Linked DNA regions of Rattus norvegicus. The protein of the gene in region 6 purifies or fractionates together with the protein of the main gene of each other region. This does not show direct contact. Links are inferred from orthologs where the notes say so. Each region holds a gene or a part of one and is shown on either strand. Other genes may lie near its edges. The genes, in order: Ash1l, Rbbp7, Sin3b, Hdac2, Phf12, Morf4l2 and Kdm5a.

Region 1 (3,974 bases), on a different chromosome or scaffold from region 6:
AGTAAGATCCTATTCAGACATACTGTAGTTAGACTGGAGATGCCACAGGCTGTGCTTCCTCCGTGTGCCTGAAGCAGTCAGAGTTACCTAAGCATCTTTTCCAGGCTTGGAGTATTTTATGGGATTTTAACTCATTTTTGCTTCAGATTTCTGAGTACAAAAAGAAAGGTTTAATTTTACAAATGGAAATTAAATTAATTTCTAAGTAGTAGAACACTAACCTAGCATGCACAAACTAATAAAAAGAAAAATTAAATCTCAGAGAAAAGTGATGGTTTGTGCTAGTGCTAATATTCAGATTTTGTTCAGTTCAGATTCTAATAAGCAGACTCCAGGGTCTCAGGCTATCCTTAGGCTTCTCAGTTTCACCTTCCCACCCTTCAAGTGCCTTGCATGGCCTTGCCCTGAATTCACACATCCTTTTGGCAGATCGTCCTGGAAGTCTGAACGTTCAAAGCCGCTCTTAAAAGACCTCGGACAAGATGATGATGCTTTGCCCTTGATTGAAGAGGTGCTGGCTAGTCAGGAGCAAGCAGCCAATGAAATGCCCAGCCCTGAGGAGCCAGACCAGGAAAGAGTCACTGGGGACGTCAGTGACGCTGAAAAGAAGCCAGAGGAGAGTAGTCAAGAGCCCCAGTTAGCCAGCACGCCTGAGGAGCGAAGGCACAGCCAGAGGGAACGGCTCAACCAGATCCTGCTCAACCTCCTGGAGAAAATACCTGGGAAAAACGGTAAGACTCGGACTTATGACTAGGCTAGAAAATAAATGGAAAGTAAATTAAAAAAAGAGGTAAAAAAGCAACTCTGTGTGTGTGTGTGTGTGTGTGTGTGTGTGTGTGTGTCTGTGTGTGTCTGTGTGTGTCTGTGTGTCTGTGTGTGTCTGTGTGTGTCTGTGTGTGTGCGAGCGCGCGTGAACATGTGCATGTGTATTATACTGGAAAATAAACCTAGTACCTGAGATATGCTAGAGAATACATTGTACTACCGAGTTTGTCTGGATTTAGAATGTCATTAATCACTATGCCAGCATGGAACATGTTCTAAGAAAACGGTTTCGTTCTTTCATAAACTTGCTCAGTTGAGTGTTCAAAGTGATGCTAAAATCAGATGGTGTCTTTCAAACCCTAGAGAACCATTTTCTTTTCTGTGTTGGGGCCAGGATACAACTTCAAAACAAAAACTTAGGGCTAGGAACAGACCTAATGCTTTTGACCGTGAGTCCCTGAGTTCTCTAGAGTGCAAATCCAGAATGCAGCAGAAGAGTAACATCTGATGTATCATGTTGGTTCTGATTTCAGCCATTGATGTGACCTACCTGCTGGAGGAAGGGTCAGGCAGGAAACTACGAAGGCGCACTTTGTTTATACCAGAAAACAGCTTTCGGAAGTGACTCTCAAAAGGATGAGAACCTCGAGCATCTGGGATCCAGCGGCACCGTGGAGTCCAGTCTCTTGCTCTCTGGACATGGACTGGGGCAAAAAAGTTCTGTCCAGGCAAGGAATGTGAGGTCACGTGTCTGACATTAGGTACTTATTAGACTTGGAGCTAGTGAAAAGGGAGTGGAAGTAGGCTTGTCTGAGACGGTTGAGTTTACTCCTTTGTAGCTTTGCCTAAGGGTTAATATGGAGAGGAGGACCACATTGGAATAGCCAGAAGCTATTGGTACTTTACAGCACTTGATACTCCTCACAGCTTGGGTTTTTCTGGGTTGCCCTCTGATCCTGCAAGCACTAAGAAGCTGCTTCCTATGACCAGGTGTAAATTCAAAATCCAAAGGGAAGGGTCCAGACCCCAGCCCTATCCCATTTATTCTCTCAGCTCTAAGAGCTGCATCAGAGACCTACACAGAGACAGTAGCTGAGGCCTCTTTTCAGTTCCTTCAACAGGAAAGTTCTTTCTTCCTTCTTGCCTAACCAGGTCAAAGTACTAGAACAGGAATCAACTGCTCAGAGCACTTAGAACTTCCGCCACTCTCCACTCTCTTTCCCAGGAGAGAGTTGATAGAGTCAGGGGGAGGAGAGGCCCCATGGGATCAGGAGGGCAGTATTTGTAATTATTTTTGGTTTACCCTTCATAACCTGCCGAACATATTTTTTCCTACTGAGAAAGCCAAGCCCCCGCCAGCACACATGCTGCTTCTCTTCCTGTGTGTCTGCTGTGCACCGATTCACTTCACAAAAGAACAACATTTTTAAACTTCTCCCCTAACAAAACTCACTACAGAACCGTTGAGCAGTGTTCACTATCAGAGTGTTTGTTCTAAGTGTAGATTACCGATTGAAAACACTATTCTTATTTTCTTAACTGTATAGTTCCCGTGTCCATCCCTGCACTCATCCCGTTTCCCCTCCACCTTTCTGAATGACTTCATCATCAGGAGGTATATCCAGGGTTGCCGTCCCTCCCAGTCTCTTGGCCGGAAGTTACCAGACCATACTGTCTCTTTACAAGTAAAATTCAAAAAGCTTTGCTTTGTCTTCTCAGACATACATATGCATATACATTTTAGATGTTCTTATAAGAGAAAAGATGGTTTTTAAATGTGCCAAGTTATGTATGTGTGTGTATATATATGTGTGTGTGTGTGTATATATATATGTGTGTCTGTGTATATATGTGTGGGTGCGTGTGAGTATGTGTGTGTGTGGGCACACGCACATGTGCACAAGCGTTTTGTGTGTGTGTGTGTGTGTGTGTGTGTGTGTGTGTGTGTGTGTGCTGTGAGATTGGTAAGCAATACATTAGTAAACACATCTTCATTACTCTTTTCCGATACTGGACCAATGATGTCCTAACTGTACATTTCCTTCCCCTTATGATGACGACGCTCTGACTCATTTAGGTAGAAACATTTGACCACCTTTCATTCCATTGATTTTCTTTTTCTCCTTTCTGTGTTATTCTTAAGGGAAAAGAGAGAGAGAAAGAGAGGGGGATAGCATAGATCCCCTTGAGCAGAGAAAAAGCAAAATATTTTATTAAAGAAAAAAAGAGAAATTAAGAAAATAGTTTGGAGTATTTTCTTACTGTAGAGAAGCATTGTACATTACCACGAGACCTGGGTATAAGATGCTCACGTGTGGCGCTGGGGAGCGCATGTCCAAGCCCATTTGAGTGGTTTCTTTTGTTTCTCATTGCAGGGAGTGGGTGGGAGGGAGGGAGGACTAAGGGCACTTTCGGGGGTCTCCTTTTAGTCAAAAGCAAGAAAATGACAAGAAAGAGATTAAATTCAATGTTTTCCTTGAATAGTGTTAAACACTAAAATTTTAAAACAAGAAAGAAAAAACTTTGTAAAATGCAAGAACAGAAGCAAAAGACACTACGCTGTCATTTTTATCTTTCTTTTGTTGAAAGATTAAAAACTGAAATGTTTTTTAGACAATCAAATGTTAGGTAAGTGCAAAAACTTGTTTTTCTTACTGGTGTAGAAATTAATGCCTTTTTTATTTTTCAGTTATTTTATAATAACAAAATAAAAACAACCCCCAGCTGCCAGGTGGGTTTTGGTGTTCGAAATGCGGGGCAAAGCACTACATCACTGCAAATAGATACAGAGTTAGTCTGCATGTCTGTAGGCTGTGTGATTGCGGAAAATATAAATGCTGCTAATATATTTCCTTTTTACAGAAAAGCATATCTAAATAGATGATTGTTTTGATGTTAATCTTTGTAAATTATGTATTACCAATTTTAACATTGGATGTAATTGCATAAAGGCTTGCATCTCAATCCTTGAAAGTCTAGCATTAAATGGAAACAACTTTTCCTAACTGTGGAGTGGCTACCTTGCTGTTTGTGCCTCTTTTCTACCCTGCAGAATCTTCCAGCACCATCTGCACCCTGTTTCTAAGGACAGCTCCCTAAAAGTCTGTCATCAATAACCCACATGAGCCATTTCTTCTAGAATCTGTCTTAATTGAATCCAGCCTTTCCAGTAAACACCACAGTGATCACAGTACCAGATAGCCAACAAC
Region 2 (4,590 bases), about 69 Mb from region 6:
AGAACAAGGAGGACAAGCTACAGTCCTTTAAATCTCGCCCACCAACCGGTTTTTGCATGACCCTGAAGCGGAGAATGATTTTTCCATTTCTAAGTGATTGAAAAAAATGATAATATTTTGTGACCTGTGCAAAGTACATGAAGTTCAAATTTCAGTGACTATAGTTTTACTGGAAGATGGCCAGGTTTATCCATATTTTCTATGGCTGCTGCGCTACAATACGGAGGGCTGCCTGGCGCCTTTCAAAAAAAAAAAAAGTTTGACCACCAGTGTTCTAGAACACAGAGGACCCATGCTGTAACACCCTTCTAACCGCCCCCCTCCCGCCTCCAGCCACCCCTTCAGCGTTAGTCACCAGCAAGATTCTTGGAGCTGACATGGAAGGGCGTTATAGTAATGAATTGTACCACATGGGAAAACAAGAGACCCAAGACAGTAAATTTCTATATAAGGGAACATGACTGTTTCTGTCACATACTAGAGTAACGTCTGAGTTTGTTTCCCGATCAGAAAAGAGGGCATCATCGCGGCCTCTGCATGGCTGCGTTTAAGCATGAAGGCACTTGGAAAGCTATCAAGGGAACAAATGTTCCGGGGGTGTTTTTGCAAGGAGAGCCTCTGAGTTTAGATGCAGACTGTGGTTCCCTTTAAGCATCGGCGCTTAGGCCCCTCTGCTCTGGCCCTCATTTTCTCCCTGGGATCATGTGGCTCTTTTTCTTCAACCTCCTCCCCCACCCCCACTCTTTCTCCAGGCTAAAAGCTTCAGAGAAAAGCAGAGCTCAGGTAATGCTGGCCTAGATTAGCCCAGCCCAGCTCTCTCCAGTTCATCAGCCAGCTGCCGGGTCAAAATGGGACCCCTTCAGGTGACAAGAATGACTCAGCAGGGGCCTAGGCAGGAACTGAGATAGGGAAGCACTGGTAGGCACAAAATCCCCTGCTGCAGCAGGAAGCTAACAAACCAGTACGTTAAGGACGCAAATAAGTGAATAAACAAAAAAGTAATTTAAGTCAACTTTAGGCCTTGGGCGGACTGAAGGCCTGGGCCATTGCAGGCCTTAAATAAAGGAGGCCTGCCCAGCTTCTGGCAGAAAAAAACGCCAAGGTCTCTCCTAAAGGTCCCTTTCGCTCATGACAAATGTCAGTACGGCTCGACTGGGCCCTCAAAACGGTTGGGTGGGAGCCTTGGAGGGGGTGCAGAAAACTGCGTGCCCGTGATTATCTGGGAGACTTTGAGGGCACCGTAATCTCTCGAGAACAGGAAACCATTTTCCTTGCTGGCTCTGAGATTTTGCTTTGCTAAGGCGGCTGCAGCTTCCCTGCCCCCCTCGCACCCCCTGCCGTTGCTGCTGCTTTAAGCAACCACGCCCCGCGGGCCCCAGGCTTCTTGGCCCTGGGGCTCGCAGCCCCCGCGCAGCCTGCACACCGCGCTCTCATCCGCCCCACCCCCGCGCGGGCCCATCCGCCCCCGCGGCCAGCCTGGGGAGCGCCGAGTGACGCCTTGCGCCTGCGCCCCACGAACTTCCTGCCGCGGAACGCCCCACCCACTCCTAAGAAGCCCGCCTCCGAAGATCGCGAAAGACCCACCCGTTGCACGCTATTGGTCGAGGTATCCGAGCCGTTGGCTCCCAGACCCGCCTCTTCACCGCCTCTCCAGTTTCCCAGGGCGGATGCGCCTGCGCTCAGCTGCCTGGGCGGGCTGAGAGGCGCGGGTTGAAAAGTCTCGTTCCAAGTTTGGAGAGAGGGAGAGAGAGGAGAGCGTCTCAGACCTCGCTACCCGCAAGCGGGGAGGAGGCAGAAGAGAAGATCGCGGCGTCTGGGGAGCACCCAGACAGCCAGACCGAGCTCAGGCTTTCCGAGCTAGGAGTGCGTGACGTGCCTGGGAGAGGCAGGAGCGCCTGCGATCGGGCTGCTCTTGACTAGCGAGAGAAGTCCGAGGCGGCAAAGGGGGGCGAACGACCCGACGCAAGATGGCGAGTAAAGAGAGTAAGGAGGCCCTGCGGGGCGGCGCGCGCCGGGGCTACGGGGGGCGGCGGGCGCGCGCCGGGGCTACGGGGGGCGGCGGGCGCGCGAGGCCGCGGCACGCGCCGACGAAAGGCGCGAATTGGCGTGAGGAGCAGGGGGCGGGGCTGGGCGCGAGGCTAGCCGCGCGCCTGGAGGGGGCCTGCGCGGGACAGGGCCTGCTCGCCGAGGGCTGAGAGCACTTCCGGAGCCGGGCTCGGGGCCGAGGGGTAGGCCCCCTCCCCCACCCGCCTCCCCCCTTCTGCGGCCTAGCTCCCTCCGACGCCCTTGACTGGGGGCGCAGGCGGTCGCGGTGGAGAAGTAAACGCAGCGGATTCTTCTTACGCCTGTTCTTAGTCCGTCTCGGGGTCGCGGCCTTCGTCCGTGTTGGGAGGGGGGGTGGGGAGGATCTGGAGCCCGCCGGACTATGGCTGCCGATGTTGGCGTGGTGGGAGCTGGGGCCTCCTCTGAGGCGGGGGGGGGTGGAGGAAGCAGGCCTATGGGCTGCTGCTACACGTGGATTTTATCTATTTGTGTGGGTCGTGGCGCCCGTTTACAATGCAGGTCATCTTAGACAGGTGCGAACAGCTATAAAAAGGCTGAAAATCTCGACGTTAGTGCAATTAATGACCCAATTCGGTAAGCGCAGGAGATACTGATCTTGAAAGTGGAGGTGAAAATGCTTCCTGATGTTAGTCTCCTCACTTTCTGGGAGAGCGGTTTGTGTGCGCATAAAAGGTAAAAGGAAAGAATAGATAAGGTGTGGCCCTTTCGAGGTGACCTCCAGTATCCGTTTCCATGCTTTGACTCCGACCCTTCTCAGCCACTTAATTGTGGGCTTTCTCCAAATTTCAGTGTTTGAAGATACTGTGGAGGAGCGTGTCATCAACGAAGAATATAAAATCTGGAAGAAGAATACACCGTTTCTGTATGACCTGGTTATGACCCATGCTCTTCAGTGGCCCAGTCTTACCGTTCAGTGGCTTCCTGAAGTGACTAAGTAAGGGTTTCTGGCAACTTTTATTTTGTGTAGATTTAAGTACCGTTTTAAATTGCTAGGTATTACTGATAATGGTATTTTACACACAGAATGTAAATGTGTAATTGGTTAGGCCGAGGGTGAGGCGGCAAGTGGTTATGTTCAAAACTTAAGATCGTTTCAAGCATAGAGGTGTGTTGAGAGGAGAGAATATTATTGTGATACCAATGGTGTGTATAGAAAATACTGAATATTTTGCCATTCCGTGAACTCTATTAGACCAGCATCTCGACTCCAGATCAAAACATTATTTTCAAACTTAAGAGGAAAGATTACATATATAACAAAAGCTATTACAGCTTGATGCATTTTTGGTAACTGAATACAATGTGAATACACTTAAACATATATTTAATTACTAGCAAAAGGAAAAAGAATTTGGCAATAGTCAAAGAAAAGAGTCGTTTGGTTTCAGTTTATAATTCAGGTTGCGATTTTTGTTAAGTGATTTTTCTTGAATATTTGTAACATTTGGCATATAAATTTGGTTTAAGCACTTAGAATAATAGGAACTAACATGTGAAGAGTTTAAGCCTCAGAACTACAATTGCGGTTCACAAATTTAGCAGTGAGGAGAAGGGCTGAGAATTTTAAGCAATGCTTCAGCACACACTACTGGTGATCTCATAGCTTACCAACTAGGGCTCAACCAACCCAAACCGGTTGACTCCAGAAGTCAAGGCACCTCCTTCATTAGACTACCTTTATCATCTAGGCATGTACCTTTTCTATAGGAATATGGGCACATACCTTAAAAGTATATTGAATTTTTGTATTGTGAGCCTATAATTAGGGTTAAATAAAACTAATATACAGGGGAGATTTTGTGACCAGTGATAAAAGGAAGCCAGTTTTAAGCAAAGTAACTTCTAAGGACTAAATTCCATATATGAACATTGACTTCCCAGATACAGACTTTCTGTTGTCTCAAAAAATCTTATGTTTTTTATTTGCAGGTTTTTTTTTACATTAAAATGCCTCTTTAAAAATCTAAGTGTACAGTGAGAAGTCTTAAATGGCTAAATAGTGGGGGCTTATAGGCATTGATTTTATTTTTTCAGCACTGGTTCAAACCCAGGGCCTCAGCATGGTAGGCATGTGCTCTGTGGCTAAGCTGTTTTTTGAGCAAATTCTAAAATAGACTGAGGGTTGGCAAGGTGGCCCAGCATGGTAAAGGCACTTGTCTTCAAGTCTAAGAATTTGAGTTCAGTCTCCAGAACCCACATGGTATTAAGAACTCTTCTGATCTACACATGTACACTGTTGTAAATATACATATCCACACACAATGAATAAATAAGTAAACAGTACAAAAAATATATTGAGCTGGGTGCCGTGGCACACGGCTGTATCCTAAGTTACAGGCTTGCCTGAGTTTTATTAATTACCATGTTTCTTTTCTCTTTTTTTTTAAATTTTTTTTAGACAGGGTTTCTCTGTGTAGCCCTGGCTGCCCTGGAACTAACTCAAAAAGACCCACCTGCTCGCAAGTGCTAGTATTAAAGATGTACCCAACCACCACCTAGTAAGACCATGTTTCCCAGAAAAAAAAT
Region 3 (3,974 bases), on a different chromosome or scaffold from region 6:
CTTCCTGGCACCCCTCCTGATGTAAGAGGGCGCAGCTGGGTGTGTGCTGTGTTGAACTGCACATTCCTATTAATGATATTGTCTTTCCCTGTTTTTCTCCGTTTTGCATGTATGTGTACTATGTTGCACATATTTCCCGTGACCCTCCTGTAGTTGACAGTCTGCTGACTTGTGTGTCACATGTGCCTTCCCTGCACACATGGGATACAAACAGTAGGTACTACATAAAAAAATTAGCAGAAAAAAAAATTAGCAGAAAAAAAATTAGCAGAAACCAAGGTGGCATTGGATGTCAGTTGCTGTAAAGTGTCCCATTAACACGCATCCTGTTTCCATCCCTACTTCTGAGAATGAACCACAAGGGCCTTTGTGGGGAGAGGTCGAACTCATGAAGGAGGGAAAATTCACCTGGGAAGACAGCCCTGGTGGACACAGCTGTTCTCCGTTCTGTCCTCTAGAGCAGCCATGGACAGAAACAAGAAAGTGAGGCAGAGCTGGGTGCCAACAAAGCTTTGCAGAAACAGTCTGTGGCTGCAGTGTGTGCCACCTGGCCTGGGTCAAGGGCAATGGCCCATCTTTGACTTCTGAGTTTGGAGTTCAGTTTCATCCTCCTTAGGCTATAGCAGCCATTGGAGTCACCAGAAAACAGTAGAAGGGAGACTGACCCGGCCCACCCCAGGACTCCAGCATCCTCGGGGAACTTTGTGATGCCTGCGACCTTCTGAGGAATAGGGAGGAGCAGGGGTGCTCTGCCCAGGCTTGGGTACAGCCAGTGACCAGAAGGGGCTAATGTCCAGGGCTTGGGGGGTGTGGGCTCAGGGGTCAAGGCTGGTGTCTGTCTGTGTTTTGAATAACTTAAAGGAGGTCATGTCTAGCCTAGAACTCGGTTCAATTCCAGACTGTGGCTTGGGCACAGATTGGCTGTAAACACAGATTGGGCACATGGGCTGGCTGGTCACAGGGCCCATGGGACACTTGAGTGGTTTTTTTTGTTTGTTTGTTTGTTTGTTTTGAGATAGGGTCTCATATCCTGGCTGTGCTGGAACATGCTCTGTAGACCAGGCTAGCCTAAAACTTAACAAGATCTACCCAGATCTGCCTCTCGAGTTATGGGATGGAAGACATGTGCTGCTCTACTCGTTTTCTTCTTTTCTTCTTTTAGTTGATTAATTAATTTTTATTTCATGTGCATTGGTGTTTTGCCTGCATGTATGTCTGAGTTTGTCAGATTCCCTGGAATTGGAGTTATAGACAGTTGTACGCTGCCATGTGGGTGCTGGGAATTGAACCCTGGTCCTCTGGAAGAGCAACCAGTGCTCTTAACCATCGAGCCATCTCTCTAGCTCCCTCTTACTTTTTTTAAGTTAAGGGACAGAAAATCCAGGCAGTGAGACTCACAGAGGTTATTCCCAGTGTGCTTTGTGGCTGTGGCCTAGTGCAGCTGGCAAAGGTCTATAGCTATAGGACCATGATTGGTGTTGGTAGGAGAGAACCCTCCTCCCTTTCCTAACACTGAGTTCTGACTCAGGCCATCCTTGAAGTTCCCTATCTTCAAGGCTGTTGTTATGACTCTAGAACATTTTCAAATGGTCCAGTGTCCACTTAAAGTTTTCTGTCTGTCTTTGAAGGAAATTTCCAGAACTCTTCGCACAGTTCAAGTCCTTCCTGGGAGTGAAAGAGCTGTCCTTTGCACCACCTATGAGTGACCGGTCTGGAGACGGCATAAGCAGAGAAATTGATTATGCATCTTGTAAGCGAATAGGATCCAGCTACCGGGCACTTCCCAAGACCTACCAGCAGCCCAAGTGCAGCGGAAGGACTGCCATCTGCAAGGAGGTAGCACCTTGGGGTACAGGTCAGCCCTTTATGGCACACAGCCATGGGCCAGGGTCCAGACCCCTGATGACATTTGATACTGGGGCATGTCAGCAGAGGCCACCTGAACTTCATGTCCTGTTGGATGGTAGTGCTTACAGCTCACACTGGCGTGGGGACTTGGTCATCTTTATCACTGTTCATTTCTGCCCTGTCCCCAAGTGTACTTAGTGACATCTTGTCCTCTGGTCCAGGTCCTGAATGATACATGGGTCTCCTTCCCATCCTGGTCTGAAGACTCCACCTTTGTCAGCTCCAAGAAGACGCCCTATGAGGAGCAGCTGCATCGCTGTGAGGATGAGCGATTTGAAGTAGGTGAAACACCTCTGGCTGCCTGAGCTGCTGTCCTCCGAGCCCAGCACCTTCCTTGTATAGCCTAGTCCTGTAGTCTCTTCTCCCTGTCACAAAAGTGTGCCAGCGCTGTGATCAGCCCCTGGCTGCCAGCTCTGCCAGCTCTTGAGCTGCAGCACAGCGTTAACCCCTTCCTTTCAGCTGAAGACAGTGGGTAGTTAACTGAAACTAAGGTAGCGTTATTTTTAATTTTTACTTTTTGATTGTTCAAGACAGGGTTTCTCTGTGTGGTTCTCATTGTCCTGGAACTCACTCTGTAGACCAGGCTGGCTTCAAACTCAGAGACTGATGCCTCTGCCTCCCAAGTGCTGGGATTAAAGGTGTGCACCACCACTGCCAGGCTAAGTTAGCATCATTTCTTACTGAAGTTGTAATTGAGTTCTTCAGACCCAACCAAGTGCCCCTCCTGGGGACAGACAATGAAGCACCTTCATTTCATCCTGATTTCCCTTTTACAAGCTTATACCTGCATGTCTTTTTGTTTTGTTTTGTTTTCTTTTTTAGATTTACTTTTATTTTATGTATGTGGGTGTTTGCCTGTGTGTCGGTCTGATGCCCACAGAGGCCAGTAAAGGACATTGGATCCCTTGGAACTGGAGTTAGGAACAGTTGTGAGCCACCATGTGGGTGCTGGGAATTACATTGCAGTCGTCTGGAAGGACGGCCATAGCTCTTACCCTGAGCCAGCTCCGCAGCCTTGCCTTTCAGTCTGAAATGTCTCTCTTTGCAGCCCCGGTTGGTGTGAAACTTGTGATCCTCCTTCCAAGTGCTAGGATGGCTGACCGTGTGTGCCCTCCACCCATTTCCTCTGTGTGTGTGTGCTTCCAGCTTCTGCTGTGACAAGTCCCATGGACAAGACAGTTTCTATGAACTAGAGTCCAGCAGCTGCTGGGAAGTGTAATTCAAATGTGCCATACTTGGCAAAGCCTGCTTATGGTATCCCATGGTGGTTGGGACATAGAGGAGGCCAGTCGTGGCTTATAACCCCGTTCCTAAACATTCCCACCCACCCGACAGTCTGAGGCTGGCGCACCAGGTCCTGTGTTCTGTTTGAGGCAAAGTTTTCTTAGAACACAATCTTCCTGCTCCCATTAATACTGACACACCCACTCCTAAACTTCAATGTGGCAGGTGATCAGACTGTAGGGGAGAGAGAGATAGGGGGAGGGGGAGAGAGGGAGGGAAAGGAGGGGGAGGGAGAGAGAGTGAGCCTATGTGACTGTTACCCGCCCCACCTCCATGATGATATGTGCCACGGCTGTCACTGGAATGCTGCCCTCCCACATAGGTGTGCTCTGGTAGACAGACACCCACACTTACTGGCTCCATTGACAGCTTCTAACCACCCACCAGTCCCCAGTTCTGACCATGCCTGCCTCCTCTTTGCAGTTGGACGTTGTCCTCGAGACCAACCTGGCCACCATCCGAGTGCTGGAGAGTGTGCAGAAGAAGTTGTCGAGGATGGCTCCTGAGGACCAGGAGAAGCTCCGCCTGGATGACTGCCTGGGCGGCACCTCGGAGGTGATTCAGCGCCGTGCCATACACCGCATCTACGGAGACAAGGCCCCGGAGGTCATTGAGAGCCTGAAGAGGAACCCCGCCACCGCCGTGCCTGTCGTCCTGAAAAGGTACCCCCTCCTGTACTTCCCTTCTGGGTTCCTGAATGATGGAGTCAGTTGACTCTGTCTTCAGGTCAGCCTCCAGCTGACTTAGGCCTGAGCAGAGTCTTGACAGCCAGGCTCCTGGGC
Region 4 (4,748 bases), on a different chromosome or scaffold from region 6:
ATTCTCTTCTAGGTCAAGTTCATTAAAGATGCTTAAGGACATAAAGGTGACAGAAAGCACAATCAGCCTCCATTAATGCTGGTTTCTAAGAATAAAATCCTTTGTTCTGGTCATTTATAATGGTTATATCATATCACAAGTTGTCCCGCAACAAACCGTCCAGCCTCTTCCCTGACATTTTTAAGTCGGGTTCTGGTGATGTAAGGAATAGTAGTGACCATAACCACTTTTATCAAAATGGATATTACAGCTCACAATAGCATCTGCTCATATGGTTTAAATACTATTCCATGTGGATTTTCTTAAGAAGGTTTTTTTTTTTTTCTTTCCGGAGCTGGGGACCGAACCCAGGGCCTTGCGCTTCCTAGGTAAGCACTCTACCGTTGAGCTAAATCCCCAGCCCCAAGAAGGTTTTAATAGTCATATAAGAAAGCCTCTCATTTTATTGGTGAAAAGCACTTAAACAAAAAAAAAAATTCAAATGGCTTGCTGGAAGTCACAGGCACTAGACTAGATTATGTTCAGGGAAAAAAAAATCGACTTATCCTCTTGTGAAAGTGTCCTACTGAGAGACCAGTTGAGGAGTTACGGCCAACAGTTAACATGTTAAATGCTGAACTAAAAGGACACTTGGTATTAAAAAGCACGGGAAACAGACATGGGAGAACACTGTAGTCCCTGAACCTACCGTGTTAATCTCCCAGGGTCTTGTTAAAAGTACAGGCTTGGGAGAGAAGTGGATGTGGTGAGGGGTATCTTGGAGTGATTTTTAAGTCTCTTGGAGTAATGTCTAGAAGATTGGTGTTTTAAGTATGGAGAGTCCTGGGGGTCACAAGGTAGAAAATAATTATTTTTGTTAATGACTCAGTATGGTTCTTACTTCAACCCCTCCTCTTACGGAAGGAAGCGGTGTGCGCATGTAGCCGGAATTGTAAATAATAACGGTTAAGATATGTGAGTGTTGGATTTGACAGCCAGCTCCCATCCTTTCTTTGCGTAACGTTTAAGAAGGTTGGTTTAGACTGGTGCTCAATAAACGTCAAGCTATTAAAACACAGGGACTCCAATGTTTAAATCCATCCTTTTGGATTGTCTGACAGTCTGATACAGTAGACAAAGCACGTGGAGTCTGGAAAAGTTTGACACCCGTTCGGTCCTCAGATGACTCACACTTGAGGGCTCCTTCATTTACCCGCACCCATAAGGAGATGCGCACGGCGCGTGCATCCCGGCACCTTTGACACCTTTAAATGGCGTTTATTATAAACAGGTTTGGGTGCTGGGAACCGCGCTTATGCTTGAGTCCAAGAAATGCTTATTAAACCCAGGAGATACCTTCAGCCATTAACCTCTCTGTAACTCAAGAGTAGTTATCAGAAGGGAGGAGAGAACAGGAGAATTAGAACGCGTGGGAATATCCGACCACCAGGCAGCCCGGGGGCAGCCCTGGGGAGCTCTCCAGCGGGTTCCCCTCGGAGTCCCCGCGGCACGTGGCGGGCTCGGGCAGGCGCGTCGCGGCGGTGGGGGAGGGGAGAGGCGTGAGCCCTGGCGGAGGGGTCTAGACTGCCCGGGATCCGTTTGAGCAGGCGCGGAGTGCGCAGGCTCGGCCCCGGTGCAACCAGTGCGTGCCAGACCGAGAGGGGGACGTGGTGGCAGAGCGTTCGGGACTCTGAGCACAGGGCCAAGGTCGGCTTGTGCGCACCTCCGGACTGTGTGTGTGATAAGACATACGGAGCACTGCTGCAGCCTCGACCGGTGGCATCCACTCCGGCCCGGTCTCTCCTCCGGCCCGTAGCTGTGTTTCCCCCTCCGCGCGGCCGCAGTGGTTCCTCCCAACTCGCAGCCCCGCCGCCCGGAGGCCTACCCCTGCCGAGTGTCGCGCGTCGGCGCCGCTGCCAACCCCGCTCTGCGATCTCGGGCCCTCCCGGCACCCGCTCGCCGTCCCGCTCCGGGCTGTCCTTGCTGCGAGGGCCGCCGCGCCCGCCGTCTCCCTCAGCCCTCTTGTCTGGCCGCCGGGCCGCGGCGGGCGAGAGCAGCCGGAGGAGGAGCCGCAGCCAGGAGGCGGCGGCCGGAGCCCATGGCGTACAGTCAAGGAGGCGGCAAGAAGAAAGTGTGCTACTATTATGACGGTAAGTGGCCGGGGAGCCTGCAGCGGGGCTGCGGGTCGGACGCGGCGGGGTATCGAGGGTGGCAGCCCGCGGGGACACCGACACGGCCTACCCAGCGCTCGCCCGCCTACTCGGGGACGCCCGCCTTCGCTCCTCTCCGGTCCTCCGCTCGGGCACGCGTATGTTTGGGGTGCACTGCCTGGGACCGGTCTCGGAGGAACCCCTGTCGGCTCCCCGGGCCTGACTGCACAAAGCCGGCGTCCTGGAGCTCCGCCCTGCGTCCCTGTCCCCTCCCCCGCTCGCCCGGTCCCCCCTTCTCGCCCCCGATCTGTCGGCGCTGCGCTTCCAGCCTCACCCGGGACCCCGGCGCCCGGGTGGAGCTGCGGAGGAGTTACTGCTGGCCGGGGGCCAAGTTCGCAGAGCGGCGCTGTCTCGCTGGTGTTTTGCGTGGACTCCATCCCTCGCCTTTGTTCGTCGGGTTTCTTCAAGCTCCACTTTCTCAGGGTTCGGATGGAAGGGCTGCACTTCCTCCGTGACAATTAAAGGGTTTTGAATTGGAAGTAGGTAGGCCTGTGGGGAAGTGATGGGAGAGAGGGAGCGTGGAGTTGCTCTTGTTTGGTGGGTCTTGGCATGTCTCTATGGGAGGTTATTACCACCCACTTCTTTGTTGGTCTTTGTTCGATCCGCAGTTATACTCTGCTCTGGGGCTTAGGAAGGAGCATGGGCATCTTGGTTAGGAAGTCTGTCCAAGTGTGGTGGGGACCCTGCTGCAGCAAACTTTGAGAAGTAGACTACATATTCCATACAGGTAGGGCTGAGCTCAGAGTGCAGTGGACGGTACAAGGTGACTGTACGTGTTCCCTAATTTGGAATATAAGCAGTCATAGTCTCTGGGTCCAATTACACTAGATGGAGTAGTGCCCTGCCTTACAGATTTCACCCAGAACATTAATTGATAACTATTGAGAGAAGTAATAAGGAAATTGGACAGAACTAGCTAGCCTCACGGACTCGAAACGCTTCATCTCTACAAAGCAATACGAAATTGGGAGCGTTTTCTGTAGTTGGTGCATTGAAGTCTTGGAGAGGTAGATTACAGTGTAGAAAAGCAGGCCGAATGAAACCGACTTTAGCTGCAAATAACCGTTTGTTTTCTTGGTTTGGTCGAATCTTTTTTAATACAGGCTTTAAATGAAATAGTCACCTGTCATTGGCTGGAAAATCAAAAACCTGACAGAAAGCTAGGTCAAAATAGAAACAGCTTTTAAATGGCTGTTTTGTTTTCTGAGATAGGCTCTCGATAAGTTGACCTGGCTGTCCTGAAACTGTCCTATGTAGACTAGGCTGACTCTAACTCCGAGATCAACCTGCCCCCGCCTCCCAAATCCTGGGATTAAAGGCGAGTGCCACTGGCTTAATTGGCAGTTTGAGAGGACTACATTGAAAAGTTACACTATCGTGGAGAGCAGAGATGGGAAAGCATGACAACTTAGACATGACTTAACCATTATGAAGTGGGATTCATGGCAGACCCCTGACCTGCATTCTCTGATCCATTGGAAAGGATGCACTGTATGAATTAACTTGAAAAATTACAATTACAGCCTTTCCAAAGTAAAGGTTTGCTCTGCTAGAGGGTAGAGTCAGGGAAATAATGAACTGTTGGGGAACAGCTCAGTCTCTTCTGCTGTCAGCTTCTTTCCTCAGCTATGAACTCTTAAATCCCATGTAACCTTGACCGGGTCTGATGGAGAACCAGACAGTACTCTAGTGTGTCTTGAGCAGCGCCTTCTTCCCGGGTTCCTGTGTGGGGATGAGCCTTTACTGAGGGATGGGATAGACGGGTGGATGGAGGTATTTTTCAGTCATGTGATTTTTAACTTACGCCCATGCAACAGCTTTACCTAGATGTAAGTAACCAACTGTACAACTAATGGTGGAAATCTGCTGGGTTATCTGTGAAAATCTGTCTGGTTCTTGCTTGTTTTTAGGATGGACGTATTTTCATTCCAAATATTTGCATTAAAGAAAGTTAACAAAAAATGGAAAAGAACACTTAAATTGGTGTCTTAAGCTAATTAACATGTGACATGTGATAGCATGCTAGACTACAGAAATAATTCTCTACATGTCTGTCTTCATTACTGTCTGCAGTACTGGACCTGTTAGATCTCTGTGCCACTGCTCTGTGAACTTTTGGATAGGGGCATGTGAGCTATCCCTAATCCTCAGAAGAGAAATCAGAGTTCTTAGTAGACTACGACTATTGATTGACTGCTCATCCTAATTCCCAGAAACACATTTCTGAATTTTGGCTAATCTCTTATTAAAGATCAATGCTTCATCAAATGATCTGAAGCTAATTATGTACACACTAGTATACTTTCTGACCTTAAACCGAGGTTTTTTGCTTTTGGGGGGTTTTTTGTTTGTTTTTTTTCTCTATTTAAGTGTAATTTAGCAGATGGAGCCACATTTGGTTCTAATTGCAATGCTCATGGTTTTAATACTTCATCTAGAAATGTGAACTATGCCTTGTTTGGAGTGAAGCTTGGGACCAATCATGCAATGCCATCTAATGTATAATTTATAACAGAATTAAATGTATGCATAATTATATAATTAAACACAAATTGTTTT
Region 5 (3,974 bases), on a different chromosome or scaffold from region 6:
TGCCCGTATGTTATTGTTCCATCTGCCCTTCCTCACCACACGTTTTTAGCTCTAGGAGTTCCAGAGCCTGTGGGTTGAGAATCAAGAAGGGAACATCACCTTGGGTCCGAAATCCAGAACTGTCTCAACAATGGGGGATTGGACCGGTGGGTTTCCCTCAGGCGACGTAAGTAACAGTCTTCCTGCTCCGTCCCCAGATGGCAAGGTCAGCCCCGGCACGTTATCCATAGGAAGCGCTTTAACCGTACCCTCTTTCCCAGCCAACTCTACTGCCATGGTGGACCTCACCAACTCACTTCGAGCATTTATGGATGTCAGCGGAGGTGAGTAATGTCCCATTAGCATTCAACTTCTTTTAAAGAGGGATAGGAGATGGGGATAAATAAGTGTGTCCGTTTGGGTAGAAGAATGGGAAAGAAGGCACCTTCTCTTGTCTCTGCCTTCTGGGTTTATACAATACAATCAAAGACGAAGAGAAGGAGAGCACAGCCAAGCTGAGCCAGAGGGCGGGAAAGAGCAGAATCACATTAGGCAGATCCCCTGGCAGCAAAACAGAACCAGGTTGATTCCGTCTAGAAAACTCCAAAGTTAAAGAGAATAGAGATGGAGTTCTCTGCACAGAGAGTGGGTAGAAAAGGTCAGTCTGTATCAGACATCTAGATCTTCCTCACAGGCAACTGGGTATATTGGTCCTGTCTTTCTTTACTTAATATTAGCCTACCTTACTACAAGAAGCCACTGCTCTGGGCCCTTGTCACTGCAGAGGGCACGTGAGGTACCCATTTTCAAATCTTTGTTCCATTGTCTGAACATTGTCACTTGCTGGATTGGCCCTGTCACCCTTATCTGCTTCCACATTCCATTTCTCTCAGCTTTTTGATCTTTTTCTTTGGTTGATAGAAATCGAGATAAATATGTTGGACGAGAAGCTGATCAAGTTTCTGGCCTTGCAGAGAATACATCAGCTTTTCCCTTCCCGGGGTCAAGCTTCACCGGGCAGTGTTGGGACACATCCGCTGTCTTCTGGAGGGCACCACACAGAAGGTGCGCGTGCACATACCTGCCACCACACCATCAGCTCTCCTGTCTGATGTGTGTGAATGACCACCTTGCTCCACGGAGACTCTCTGCTTTCAGTAGCTCACACTCTTTGTACCTCTGGGTTTAATAAAGCATGGTGATTTCTTTTTTTTTCCTCAGCACAAACAAGATAAACAATTTTTGGTCAGACTTGGGGAGTTTGCCATAACTTTTTTTCACAGAAGTCCACTTTGATTCATAACAAAACAGCTACCAATACTTTGGGGTATATGTTGTATTCTTTCTGTTCAATTACTCCGTAATATTTGAACTAGGTTTTCCCAAGGTTTAAAGTGAGAAATAGAAAAATAGTAGGAAATTCTTCTCCAGGGTTAACTCTGTTACCTCTAAGCTCAGCTCAGCCCTTCAGAACCTTGTGCTTCAGAAACTTAAAGTACCATGCCAGCAACATCGGAGCTCAAGCCTTCACTAGAAACAGATTCTAGACTGCTCTGTCACCAAAGAGGCCTGAGTTCTATCCCTAGAGCCCACATAGCAAAAGCTAGGTATGGTGATGCTTGCTTACAATCCCTGAGGTGAGCGAGTAGAGGTAGACAGACTGGCCCCTTGGACTCACAGGCTGCCCAGCCTAAACCTCTTCTTGAATTCTAGGCCAGTGAGAGACCTTATCTCCCCCCAAAAATAGAATATGAGGAACAACACCAGAAGTTGTTTGTATATATGTGAACACAAATGTGTGTGAACTCTCACAAGTGTGTGTGAACTAGCATACAGGAAATTAAAATTCACAAATAGCCAACTAAATCTAGGTCAGGTTTCTGGTGGGAGTGGTGGTAGTTCTAGGAATCAAACCCATTGACTTAGTGAACAGGTACTGTAGAACTAAATTATAATTATGGACTCCATAGGCAGTGACGTGCTCATTAAAGCCTGAGAAACAGAGCTGTACCTTATGTTTTCCATGTTCTCTTTATTACCAGTTGGAATGTCCTTGTTAAGCTCACCAGGTACCCAGGAACTTAAAAGTACTCATGTCCTCATTCTGTAACCATCTTCAATGAAGATCCTTCCTAACCCGTATTGAAAATGCTATGGTTGTGGGAAAGCATTTCCCTGAAGCAGCTCTGGGGCAGGCATGAGTTTTGAGCATGAGCCACCCAGTAGGAGTTTTTTTTCAAGGCCACCAACCATAGATTCAGGATTTGTTGGTTTGTGTTTGGGTCACAGGTTCTGGGTTCTGAATGATCCTATCCCTGTGTTTGTCTTATAGTGCAAAGGAAGGAGGTACAAGCCCGAGCTGTGTTCTACCCCCTCTTAGGGTTGGGAGGAGCTGTGAACATGTGCTATCGAACCCTCTACATCGGGACAGGTGAGCCAGCCAGGAGTCTGGGAGGGGCACTGGATCTTCAGCCTAAAGATGGACACTTAAAGAAACCCTTTCAGAGGTTGATGGGTCTAACTAGTGAGTGTCTAGGCAAGGAGACTAAAAATCCAGACAATCCAATGGGGTACTTCCTTGGCTCAGGCCTTTTGCTTTAACTGCCTCTAGGCAGAGTCTGGAACACTATAAGGAGAAACTTGAAAAGAGGACACTTCCTTATTCTCAGGGTGTAATAGACTCACACATAACCCTCCTTTGTTAGTTTATTTTGGTCATCACGATGATTTAGGATAGGATCTCTGTAGTCCAGAGTGGTCTTGAACTCATGTCTGTCCTCTTGCCTCAGCCTCTCTAGTACTACAACTACTGGTATTGCCCACCACACCCCCAATCACCCCTTATCCTAGAAATTGCCCTTTTTTTTTTTTTTTTTTTCCGGAGCTGGGGACCGAACCCAGGGCTTGCGCTTCCTAGGCAAGCGCTCTGCCACTGAGCCAAATCCCCAACCCTAGAAATTGCCCTTTAAAGTGCCCTGGATTTACCATCCTTTTCAGTAACTTACTGCTCTGTCTGGGTAGCTGCCATGTATTCAATGCAAATTAAGTTTTAGAACAACAAAGGGAATTGATGAACTCAACAACATATATCTGTAATCCCAGTACTTCTGGAATGGATGCAGGGAGATCAAGAGTTCAAAGCTGCCCATTATTATAAAGGAAAGGAAAAAGAAAAGAGGTTCTGAGCTACCTTGAAGTTTCTACTAGCAACCACCCAGAAACTAACTCCCCTCTCTTTTACCTTCCCAACACATATACCTCACAAGTCTGTTCTCTCCCTTTCCCTTGACTCCTGCCACCTTGCAGGAGCTGACATGGATGTGTGCCTTACAAACTATGGTCACTGTAACTACGTGTCCGGGAAACATGCCTGCATATTCTACGATGAGGTGAGAGGCAGAGATGGGTGGGAGGGAGCTTTCCTAGCCTGAGGTCTTTCCCCAGCACTGGGTTCTGGCCACGGGCAGAGGCAGGTGTGAAAGGCTTGGCATTCCACCATGGCAGCCTGCTTTGGTGCAGGAGCAAGCTGTTGTTACAGCCGATGTTGCTCACAGAAACATTTGAGGGAGGCCACCTCAAAACAGGGAAGGGACCAGAGTAGAAGGAAGCCAAGCTCTGTATGTCCCTGCGTTTCATCATAATTGTGTGCCAGTGACTATCAGATCAATAGGAGCCAGTTCTGAGGAGCAGAGAGAGGGAATATGGAGTCACTAGGCTTTCAGAGGTGAGGTTTTGGTGGATTCTGAAAGAGGCGGGCTGTAACCAAGGAAGAGCATGACCTTGCTAGGCTCCCCAGGCTTCACACAGCAACTACACATCCTTATCTCCCTCCTCAGAATACCAAACATTATGAGCTGTTAAACTACAGTGAGCACGGGACAACGGTGGACAATGTGCTGTATTCATGTGACTTCTCTGAGAAGACCCCGCCAACCCCCCCAAGCAGTATTGTTGCCAAAGTACAGAGTGTCATCAGTAAGTTGGAGCAGAGGCCT
Region 6 (4,401 bases):
TTTTGCTACACGTTCTATGGCACCCTCTAGTGGTGTCCAAAAACGAGTGTTGAATTGTAGCCCTCCAAAGCAGTGGTTCTCCAATTTTAGAGTGCATTGGATTTACTAGAACAATTTGTAGTGGATGGCCAAGCTCCATCCAGAAAACCTTTGATTTGTGAGACATAAAGCAGGGCCTATGAATCTAATATTCTGATAACTTACCGAGTTTTACTGATGCTTCTGATTTTTGGAGAACCGCTCTAAAAAACCTTTCCCCTTTGCAGCTGAAGACGTGGCTCAGCCATTAAGACCACTTGCTGCTCTACCAGAAGACCCGAGTTAGGTTCCCAGCATCCATGTCAGGTGTCTCAGAACAGCCAGTAATCCCAGCTCCGGAGGATCCAGTGCCTCTGACTTCTGAACACATACACATGTGTAGAAATACCTAATTAAAAACAGTAAAATTAAAATCTTTTAAAAAACCTTCACCCTCGGGTGGATAAATACATATAATTAGTGCCTGAAACCTATTTTTGGCTGATTATAATGTAGTACAATTCTGTTAAGAAAAAGAAATACCTATGGGAAGGAATTTAATACATCTGAAATATAGAAAATATTAAAAAAAAAATCGATGGTCTGACTGGGGAGATGTCCGGGGAGGGGTAAATGTCTGCTGCTCAAACAGGAGGGCCTAAGTTCAGTTCCCCAGCATATATATAAAAGCTGAACACAGGGCACTGATCTATAACCCCAGTGTTTTAAGGGGGGCTGTTGGTAGAGACAGGCAGATCCTGGGAGTTCAGTGACAAGCCAGAATAGCACATAGAGTAACTCCGAGTTTACTCAGACCCTTCTGTAAAAAAATAAGGCGAACAGCAATAGAGGAAAAGACGTAAAGAAAGGTGAACTTTAGCCCCAAAATGCACAGGCCACACAGGTACATAAATTAAAAAAAACCACACACACCTCAGGGCTATGTTATTATGCGCTCTGAAACCTAAGTGAAATGTTTTACTATTTCCTATCTGACTCTAAAAACACAACCGAGTTTTTCGGAATGTAATGAGAATAGTAAAAAGAAATGCCCTTTGTCTTACAAAAACAGCTTAGTCAGGAGGAGGTCCAGGACACCCAAGGCTGTACCTGATAACCAGCCCCCAATGACATCAGTCACTAAGATAACCAGACACAGGACAAGAATCCCATGACGCCCGCTACACAGCGAGTATATAAGCAGGAAGATCGAGCGCATCGGTCTTTTGCTGCACACCTGGAGACACACCTTGAGCTGCCCTGCAGCCAGAGAGTCTCCTCGGGCTCCTGCATCGGAGACTAGGCCTGATCTTCAGGTAAGGGCGTCACAAACGTGAGCTCCCTTGGGAAAACTGTAGTTAAGAACCAAGAGTGTTGTGTGATGACTCTCGCCATGATAAAATAGAATTTTTGGTATACTAAGCTTCTACCTACTTGCTTAGGAGGGCACAGAACCATCACATAAAATTGGGGTGTAAACACCCATACCTGATAAGTTTGAAGAGGAAGATAATCCGCAATGCTGAGGTCTAACTTTACCTCCGAGTTACCTTTACAGACTGACTAGAGGAATTGTTAAGTACTGAAAAGCGGGCAAAAAGCAAAAAGAATATTCTTTCATGGATTTATTTATGCAGAGACAGGGTCTCAATATATAATCTATGCGGCCTTTAATCTAGGGCCCTCCTTCTGCTCAAGTGCTCATACAGCTCACAAAGGGTTTTAGCATCAGAATTTAGGCCCATGTATCAATCCTGAGTAAAATCAAAAGGCAAGGGAGAAAGAAATGCAAGAAGAACAGATGACTTTTTCTCTTTAAGGAAATTAACCAAAATATTCAGATATGTAATTCCTTGCCTAGTATTATTACTTCACAGAACTTGATTTTATTCTTAAGAATTTTATATATATATATATATATATATATATATATATATATATATGAGTCATCCAGAGATTACGGATCCTGTAAGAAGTGGGTGGAGCAAAAAATTAAATCTCACAATCCCTGGGAACCCAGCAGTAAATCCTTTGCTGGGATTTGGTGACATCTAGTGGCAGATTCAAGAGGTATAATGCTCATCCAATGAACTTTCTGGAAAACTGACCGAATGTATATTGGATCGCTACGCTTGGAGATTAGGACAAAAGGTAGGTGAGGCTTAGCATCCACGGGAAATTGGCATAGTCTGTATCACTGGGGAATTTTTTTTTTTTTTGGTTCTTTTTTTTTTTTTTCCGGAGCTGGGGACCGAACCCAGGGCCTTGCGCTTCCTAGGCAAGCGCTCTACCACTGAGCTAAATCCCCAACCCCTGGGGAATTTAATTGTCTTTGTTTTCGTTAGAATTATTTCTACCAATTTAGCAATAAACTTGGTGGGGGGCAAAAGGGAGGTTCTCAGTAATCTTGGTGAGGGGCAAAGGTGAGGCCTTGGAGACAGAGAGGGCGGGGTGTACACTTGGAAACTTAAAAGAAACGCCCTTTTACGTTACTAATATAGTTTTGAATGCTCACCATGGAAGAAGTTTATTTTGTTGGACTAAATTGTGGGAATAATAAGCATCTTTAGGGTCTAAAATTAAATCAGACTGGGTGGGGTGGCCGATGCTTTCAATGCCAGCGCACGGGAGGCCGTGAAGAGACAGGTGGGTCTCTTGTGTTCCAGGCCTGCCAAGCCTACGTAGCTAGAACAGGCCTCATAAATAAAGAAAATAAAATAAAATAAAATAAAAAAGAAAGAGCGAGCAAAGAAAGATAAAAAGGGGGGATTAAATTAAATCAGCAGGCTTTTCTAACAAAAGGCCTTTACCTCTGTACTAGTACTTTCTTGGGTCTTATTTATTAATGCAGTTTGCAAACATCAAAAGGCAGAAATGCACCAAAATGAGGGACCTCACCTACACACACTCTCAGGGCCCCTCCCGCCACCGCGAGAGCTTGCACGCCTGCGCACACCCATCATCCCCGGCGCCACGAGGGCGGCTGTTCGCCCACACCCACACTCCACAGCCACGCGAGCGTGCCCGCGCGCATACACCCCAGTTCTCAAGGCATCCGGGCATCCGCCCGATGGCACTCACCACCCTCACACGCATACACCTCAAAACCTTCATTTTTCCTTTTGGTTTGGTTGGGTTTTTTTTTTTTCTCCCGTTCTGAGGGTTGCGCAACAGGCTCGGGGGCGTGGCGCTGGTTTGACCTCGCTCTTCCCACTCCCGGGAACCTTAGCTCATTTCCGCCTATCCTATTTCCGCAGGCCACGTCGGCACTTCCTTTCCCTGTGGTGCGGGGGCGGGGGAGGGGGAACGGACCCACAAACCCATAATGCCTCCCTGCAGGAGAGAAGGAGAGCGCGAGGGAAAGAAGGTGGGGGAAAAAAAAAAAACCCACGGCCAGGGGAACTCTGGGTCGTGAAAACGGGCCACGTGAACACGCTGCCCTATAGACTTCTGACCCAACGGCTGTAGCGCACTTGGAGGGCGGGCTAAGAACCTAAAAGGGCGACCGTCATTGGTCGGAGCCCGCACTGAAGAAGGACGCTCATTGGTTTGATTTGGGCCCTAACCATGAAGAAGCAGGTTGCTAGCACCCGCCTTTACTGCGGCGGAGTGTCACTGCTGACGTGGGGGCGGTGGTCCAATCATTTGGGTATGGAACATTCTAAAACTTAGACAAGATGGCTAGGATTGGCTGAAGGGCTAAGCCCGCCTCCAGGGTGACGTGTCTGCCTATGGATATCAGTTGCCAGAGAAACCTGGCTTTACTATGGCGGTTGGAGGAGCAGCGGTGGTCACACGTCGGCTGCTGGAAAGAACTGGATTCTCGTTTCAGGTTTCGGGGTGGGGGTGGGGAGGAAGGGTCGATGATTTCCTCTTTCCTTCTTGACTTGTAGATAGGATTAACTAGTGCCTTCACATTCAAGCAAAACTGGATGCGTATTCCTGCTCGCCAACGCCCAACTTGGGCAAGGCTCCTTTCTGTGTCTCGGTTTCCATGTTTGTAAAATGGTGATAATAGTAGCTATCTCGGTCGCGGATTCAGATGTGCCTAGTAAAATAGTGCGTGTAAGGCATTCGACGTGAAGCCTGTCTCCGAAAGACAGGAACAATTGTTACTAAAGATAGATATTTCTGAGGAAGAAAAATTTTAAATGACGCAAATTTGCTTGATATCATATCTTTTTCTGTACATCATCCTCTTTCTTCGAAGAAATTATGACGATAGGCATTTATTAAGCCTTACCAATAAAATAATTTGATAGCCCAGAATTACCTCAGAATGGCTGGGGGTCGGAATTTTCCCACATTAAGTCAAAAAGAGAAAGGTAGGGGGACGCGAACGAAAACGAGCTACTTATGAAGCACATGCGAGGAGTAGGCCTT
Region 7 (3,974 bases), on a different chromosome or scaffold from region 6:
TCTTTCGCTCTTCTTCTTTTGCTAACTTCTTAGCCAATTTATTCAGCTCTTTTGATTTGTCCACATTTAATTTTAATTTCTTCTTTTTAGGTTTATCTATTTTCTTTAGCTCCTTGGTCTTCTGTTTTCCTTCTCCAAAAAACTGTTCTACCTTTTCTAATTTCCGCTTCCGTTTCTTCTCTGAAGAATCCTTTCCTTTCATTTTTAATGGTTTCTCTTCTACGCTATCATCCTTCAAAATATGAAATTAATCAAATTTTAATGCAAAACTTTAAAAAAGTGTTATTCTCTTATGTGAGGTACTTAGAACAAGAAAATTAGCAGACACAAAAAGGAGAATAGGAGGTGAGGGAGGGCAAATAATTATTTTTTAATGGTTCAGATTTCCTGTTTGGGATGATTAGAGTTGTGTAACAGGCACTGGTGGTACACATCTGTAATCCCAGCACTTGGGAAGCAGCTGCAATGGGGTGGCTTCAAGCTCAAGGGCAGTGGTCCATATAACGAGAGTGAGTGAGTTCTAGGAATGTACTGTGGTATTTGCATACAGTGTGAATGTACACAACAGAACTCAACTGTTTACTCAACAAAGATATGATAGCTCTTGTGCTGTAGCTACTGTACCAACATTTTAAATTTTTCTGAGATTTTATTTATTTTTTATGTATTTTTATGTGTATTAGTGTTTTGCCTGCATGTTTGTCTGTGTGAGACTGTCTAATCTCCTGGAAATGGAGTTACAGACAGTTGTAAGCTGTCATGTGGGTGCTGGGAATCGAATTTGGGTCCTCTGGAAGAGCAGGAAGCTCTTAACTGGTGAGCTGTCGCTCCAGCCCCAACATTCTTTACATGACAACATGTAACTCTGACAGACTTGCTGAGGATGTAGCTCAGATGGCAGAGTACTCAGAATACCCTGAGTTTGATCCCTAGCACACACAAAACCATATGCTGGGGGTGCTTTCGTGTAATCCCAGCACTTGGGAGGTAGACAAAGGAAAATCACAAGGTTAAGTTCATCCTTTGTTACTCAGAAAGTTTGAGGCTAAACTTGGCTTCCAAAGTCCCTGTCTCAAAGAAAAATAAATAAGAAACTGGTTAATCTCCAAGACTCCAAGACTCTGGAAGCAGGTGCAGGTGACTAAGAGTAGAAAATAATAACAACCCTAAATTCAGAAATGGATTGCTCATGCTTATAATCCTAGCATGATCAAAGGGGGATCATGGATGTAAAAACACTAATATAAAATGTTCGCCATTAATGCACATGTAGTATAGGACGGTAGAGTCTTCCAACTCATCCAGTTCTACTCAACCACCTCCTTGCCTTTTTTTTTCCTGCAAGCATGTTTGGAAGTGCATGTGTTGTATGTACACATGTATGTATAAGTTCCAGTGTGTGTAGAGGCCAATGTTAATGTAAGGTGTCTTCCTCAGTAACTCTCCACTTTATAAACTGAGGTACAGTCTCTTGTTGAACATGGAGCTCACGACTTTGGCTAGTGTAGCTAGCCAGTTTGCTCCAGAGATTCTGGCTTCTGGCTTCCACCCACTGGGGTTACAGGCAGACCACCAAGAGAATCCTCCCCCCCTTTTTTAATATTCGTGCCAAACTCTGGTCTTCATATTTGCACAGCAGGCAAATTCTCCAGCCCAACCTTTTAAAAATTTCAACATTTATCCAGTTATCTAAGGCAACTGTTATAAAACTGATTTTTTAAATTATGTGTGTACATGTGTGTTTCTGTGTGGGGTATACATGCACGTGAGTGGAGGGGCTTTTGAAGTAGAGGAGGGTTTCAGATCCCCTTGCGCTGAAGTTATGGGTGGATGTGAGCCACCCTTTGTGGGTGCTGGTAACTGACCCAGACCCGGAGCATCTGAGTAATCTTAACATCTCTCCAGCCCCTAAACTGCTTTATTGTTTTTGTTTATGTGTTTTTGAGAAAAGAGCTTGTGTGGTGGAGGCTAGCCTCAAGCAGCCAAGGATGGTTTTGAATGCCTGATCTTCTTACCTCTACTTCCCTTGTTTTAGGATTATAAGCCTGCACCATGATACTTGGCTAAACTGTTTTTTAATCTTTCCTTCTCTCTAGCAGAAATAAAAGAATTATTACATAAAATTTCAGTGAAGAAAACAAGTATTTTTGCTTAAATGAGAAAACATGACTGCCAAACTACTACCCACTTAGCCATCCCGTACCTCCATGATATGTAAGAATCTGTCCTCTGAGGGTGGATGTGTGGCCTGCAAAATCCGCCATATGTGTTGTGTCTCATCCAGAGACACTTCTAGGAGGTCTCCAACCATCATGAGTTCTTCCAACTGGGCTTTTGCTCCAGGAGACAATTCTAATACTGGAGGCTCCAAACTTCTGGGAACCAAAGGGCTCTTCCGAGGCTGCTTTCTTGGAGTGCTAGAACCTTTTCCCCAAGACATCAAGAAACAAAGCAAAGAAATGAAAATGGTATACACATATTATGAAAGTTAAATGTTTAGAAAAAAAATTGCCTCTCCTCTCTATAGTAAAGTCAGATAATTGGATACATTATTTTAATACAAAATAAGGTTTTTTTAAATTGTTACTAATGAATAATATAATGATCCATAACATTTCTAAAAGTTTATCGTAGAAAAAATAATCTTCATTTTCCAGAGTAGTGAAATCAAGTTTTATTTATTTTCTCTGGGTAGAAGAAAAGTGAACATCAGCGAGAAAGAATTCACCAAAAGAATTAAGTTCCTAACAATTAAGAATACCAAACAAGGGGTTGGGGATTTAGCTCAGTGGTAGAGCGCTTGCCTAGGAAGCGCAAGGCCCTGGGTTCGGTCCCCAGCTCCGAAAAAAAGAACCAAAAAAAAAAAAAAAAAAAAAAAAATCATAAGACAAAAACAACAACAAAAACCCAATACTGAAGTCTAACCAGGTACAGTGGCACACACTTGAAATCCTAGCACTGAGAAAGCTGATACAAGAGGATTACTGTAAGTTTGAAGCCAAGAGAGGCTACACAAAGAGAATTAGGCCTGCTAAAGCTAAAATGAGACACTGTCTTTACACACACACACCACACACGTGAGCATGCAAAAGAAAAAATCCCAACAAACCAATAAAAACCACAAGATAAAAGAATACCCAAATCCAGTATGGATATCAGTGAGTTCCTTGACAGCTGGTACTGATCAAGTAGAGGGTAAATCAAGGTCTGACAGAGATTTCATACAAATATGACACTTAATCATGTGACCTTAGAAAACATTCCTTCTTGGGACTCTATATTCTATTATCTTTTCAGGACATCAAAAATGATAGAAAATAAGTTTTGGCTTTTCCTAACTACAATAATGTTTTTTGTTTTTATTTTTTTCCCCAGAGCTGGGGACCGAACCCAGGGCCTTGCGCTCTACCACTGAGCTAAATCCTCAACCCCCCACAATAATGTTTTTAAGCTCTCTCACAAGGTGACAACCAGGTTTGTATTCAAGAGGGATTCATAATCTGGATTAATATGATGTCTTTTTCTGTTTCAACTTACTTTCTAACTATTAATTATTTTGTTTTTCTCAGGGTTTAGGACCAAACCTAGGCTTTTCACTTACTAGGCAAACACTACCACCCAACTCAATCTCCCACCCTTATGCTTTCTGTTTTGTTTGCTTTTTGTTTATTTTGTGTGTATGTTATGTGCATGTGAGTCCAGGTACATGTATGTCACAGCATGTAGAGATCAGACAATGTTTTGAGTCTTTGTTGAGGGACCTGTTGTTTCTCCTGTTGTGCTACCTACCACAGACTAACTGGCTGAGAATTCCCAGCCAAATCTGTCTCCACTCCCTACCTCTTGCACCAGCACCAGGACTACATACACATGTCACTGCATCTAACATCTTTATGAGGGTTCTGAAAATCAAACTTAGGTTGTTAGACTTATATGGTTGGTGTTGAACAATCTCCCAGGCCCACTTCTGTTTT

Evidence for each region.
Region 1: the proteins of Morf4l2 (region 6) and Ash1l purify together in Homo sapiens (affinity purification with mass spectrometry; 5 studies listed by BioGRID and IntAct, counting the BioPlex papers as one, with this or other methods). This does not show direct contact. The link is inferred for Rattus norvegicus from reciprocal best matches to the Homo sapiens genes MORF4L2 and ASH1L.
Region 2: the proteins of Morf4l2 (region 6) and Rbbp7 purify together in Homo sapiens (affinity purification with mass spectrometry, with the first as the bait; 3 studies listed by BioGRID). This does not show direct contact. The link is inferred for Rattus norvegicus from reciprocal best matches to the Homo sapiens genes MORF4L2 and RBBP7.
Region 3: the proteins of Morf4l2 (region 6) and Sin3b purify together in Homo sapiens (affinity purification with mass spectrometry; 5 studies listed by BioGRID and IntAct, with this or other methods). This does not show direct contact. The link is inferred for Rattus norvegicus from reciprocal best matches to the Homo sapiens genes MORF4L2 and SIN3B.
Region 4: the proteins of Morf4l2 (region 6) and Hdac2 purify together in Homo sapiens (affinity purification with mass spectrometry; 4 studies listed by BioGRID, with this or other methods). This does not show direct contact. The link is inferred for Rattus norvegicus from reciprocal best matches to the Homo sapiens genes MORF4L2 and HDAC2.
Region 5: the proteins of Morf4l2 (region 6) and Phf12 purify together in Homo sapiens (affinity purification with mass spectrometry; 9 studies listed by BioGRID and IntAct, counting the BioPlex papers as one, with this or other methods). This does not show direct contact. The link is inferred for Rattus norvegicus from reciprocal best matches to the Homo sapiens genes MORF4L2 and PHF12.
Region 7: the proteins of Morf4l2 (region 6) and Kdm5a purify together in Homo sapiens (affinity purification with mass spectrometry; 4 studies listed by BioGRID and IntAct, with this or other methods). This does not show direct contact. The link is inferred for Rattus norvegicus from reciprocal best matches to the Homo sapiens genes MORF4L2 and KDM5A.

Annotation. Positions count from the first base shown.
Region 1 is NC_086020.1:176,777,079-176,781,052, forward strand, and holds the end of Ash1l (histone-lysine N-methyltransferase ASH1L), read left to right. Parts: intron 1-429; coding exon 430-731; intron 732-1,298; coding exon 1,299-1,390; 3' UTR 1,391-3,769; downstream 3,770-3,974. UniProt on the Homo sapiens protein: Histone methyltransferase specifically trimethylating 'Lys-36' of histone H3 forming H3K36me3. Also monomethylates 'Lys-9' of histone H3 (H3K9me1) in vitro. The physiological significance of the H3K9me1 activity is unclear.
Region 2 is NC_086039.1:35,560,134-35,564,723, reverse strand, and holds the start of Rbbp7 (histone-binding protein RBBP7), read left to right. Parts: upstream 1-1,693; 5' UTR 1,694-1,967; coding exon 1,968-1,983; intron 1,984-2,853; coding exon 2,854-2,998; intron 2,999-4,590. UniProt on the Homo sapiens protein: Core histone-binding subunit that may target chromatin remodeling factors, histone acetyltransferases and histone deacetylases to their histone substrates in a manner that is regulated by nucleosomal DNA.
Region 3 is NC_086034.1:17,169,761-17,173,734, reverse strand, and holds part of Sin3b (paired amphipathic helix protein Sin3b), read left to right. Parts: intron 1-1,628; coding exon 1,629-1,836; intron 1,837-2,069; coding exon 2,070-2,186; intron 2,187-3,615; coding exon 3,616-3,854; intron 3,855-3,974.
Region 4 is NC_086038.1:42,101,256-42,106,003, forward strand, and holds the start of Hdac2 (histone deacetylase 2), read left to right. Parts: upstream 1-1,871; 5' UTR 1,872-2,077; coding exon 2,078-2,129; intron 2,130-4,748. UniProt on the Homo sapiens protein: Histone deacetylase that catalyzes the deacetylation of lysine residues on the N-terminal part of the core histones (H2A, H2B, H3 and H4).
Region 5 is NC_086028.1:63,411,566-63,415,539, forward strand, and holds part of Phf12 (PHD finger protein 12), read left to right. Parts: intron 1-49; coding exon of another isoform or gene 50-78; exon of another isoform or gene 79-197; coding exon 198-323; intron 324-716; coding exon of another isoform or gene 717-775; intron 776-900; coding exon 901-1,044; intron 1,045-2,311; coding exon 2,312-2,410; intron 2,411-3,285; coding exon 3,286-3,368; intron 3,369-3,815; coding exon 3,816-3,954; intron 3,955-3,974.
Region 6 is NC_086039.1:104,882,810-104,887,210, reverse strand, and holds the start of Morf4l2 (mortality factor 4-like protein 2), read left to right. Parts: upstream 1-1,264; 5' UTR 1,265-1,334; intron 1,335-2,009; exon of another isoform or gene 2,010-2,169; intron 2,170-3,099; exon of another isoform or gene 3,100-3,552; intron 3,553-3,662; exon of another isoform or gene 3,663-3,850; intron 3,851-4,401. UniProt on the Homo sapiens protein: Component of the NuA4 histone acetyltransferase complex which is involved in transcriptional activation of select genes principally by acetylation of nucleosomal histone H4 and H2A.
Region 7 is NC_086022.1:155,300,424-155,304,397, reverse strand, and holds part of Kdm5a (lysine-specific demethylase 5A), read right to left. Parts: intron 2,425-3,974; coding exon 2,204-2,424; intron 233-2,203; coding exon 1-232. UniProt on the Homo sapiens protein: Histone demethylase that specifically demethylates 'Lys-4' of histone H3, thereby playing a central role in histone code. Does not demethylate histone H3 'Lys-9', H3 'Lys-27', H3 'Lys-36', H3 'Lys-79' or H4 'Lys-20'.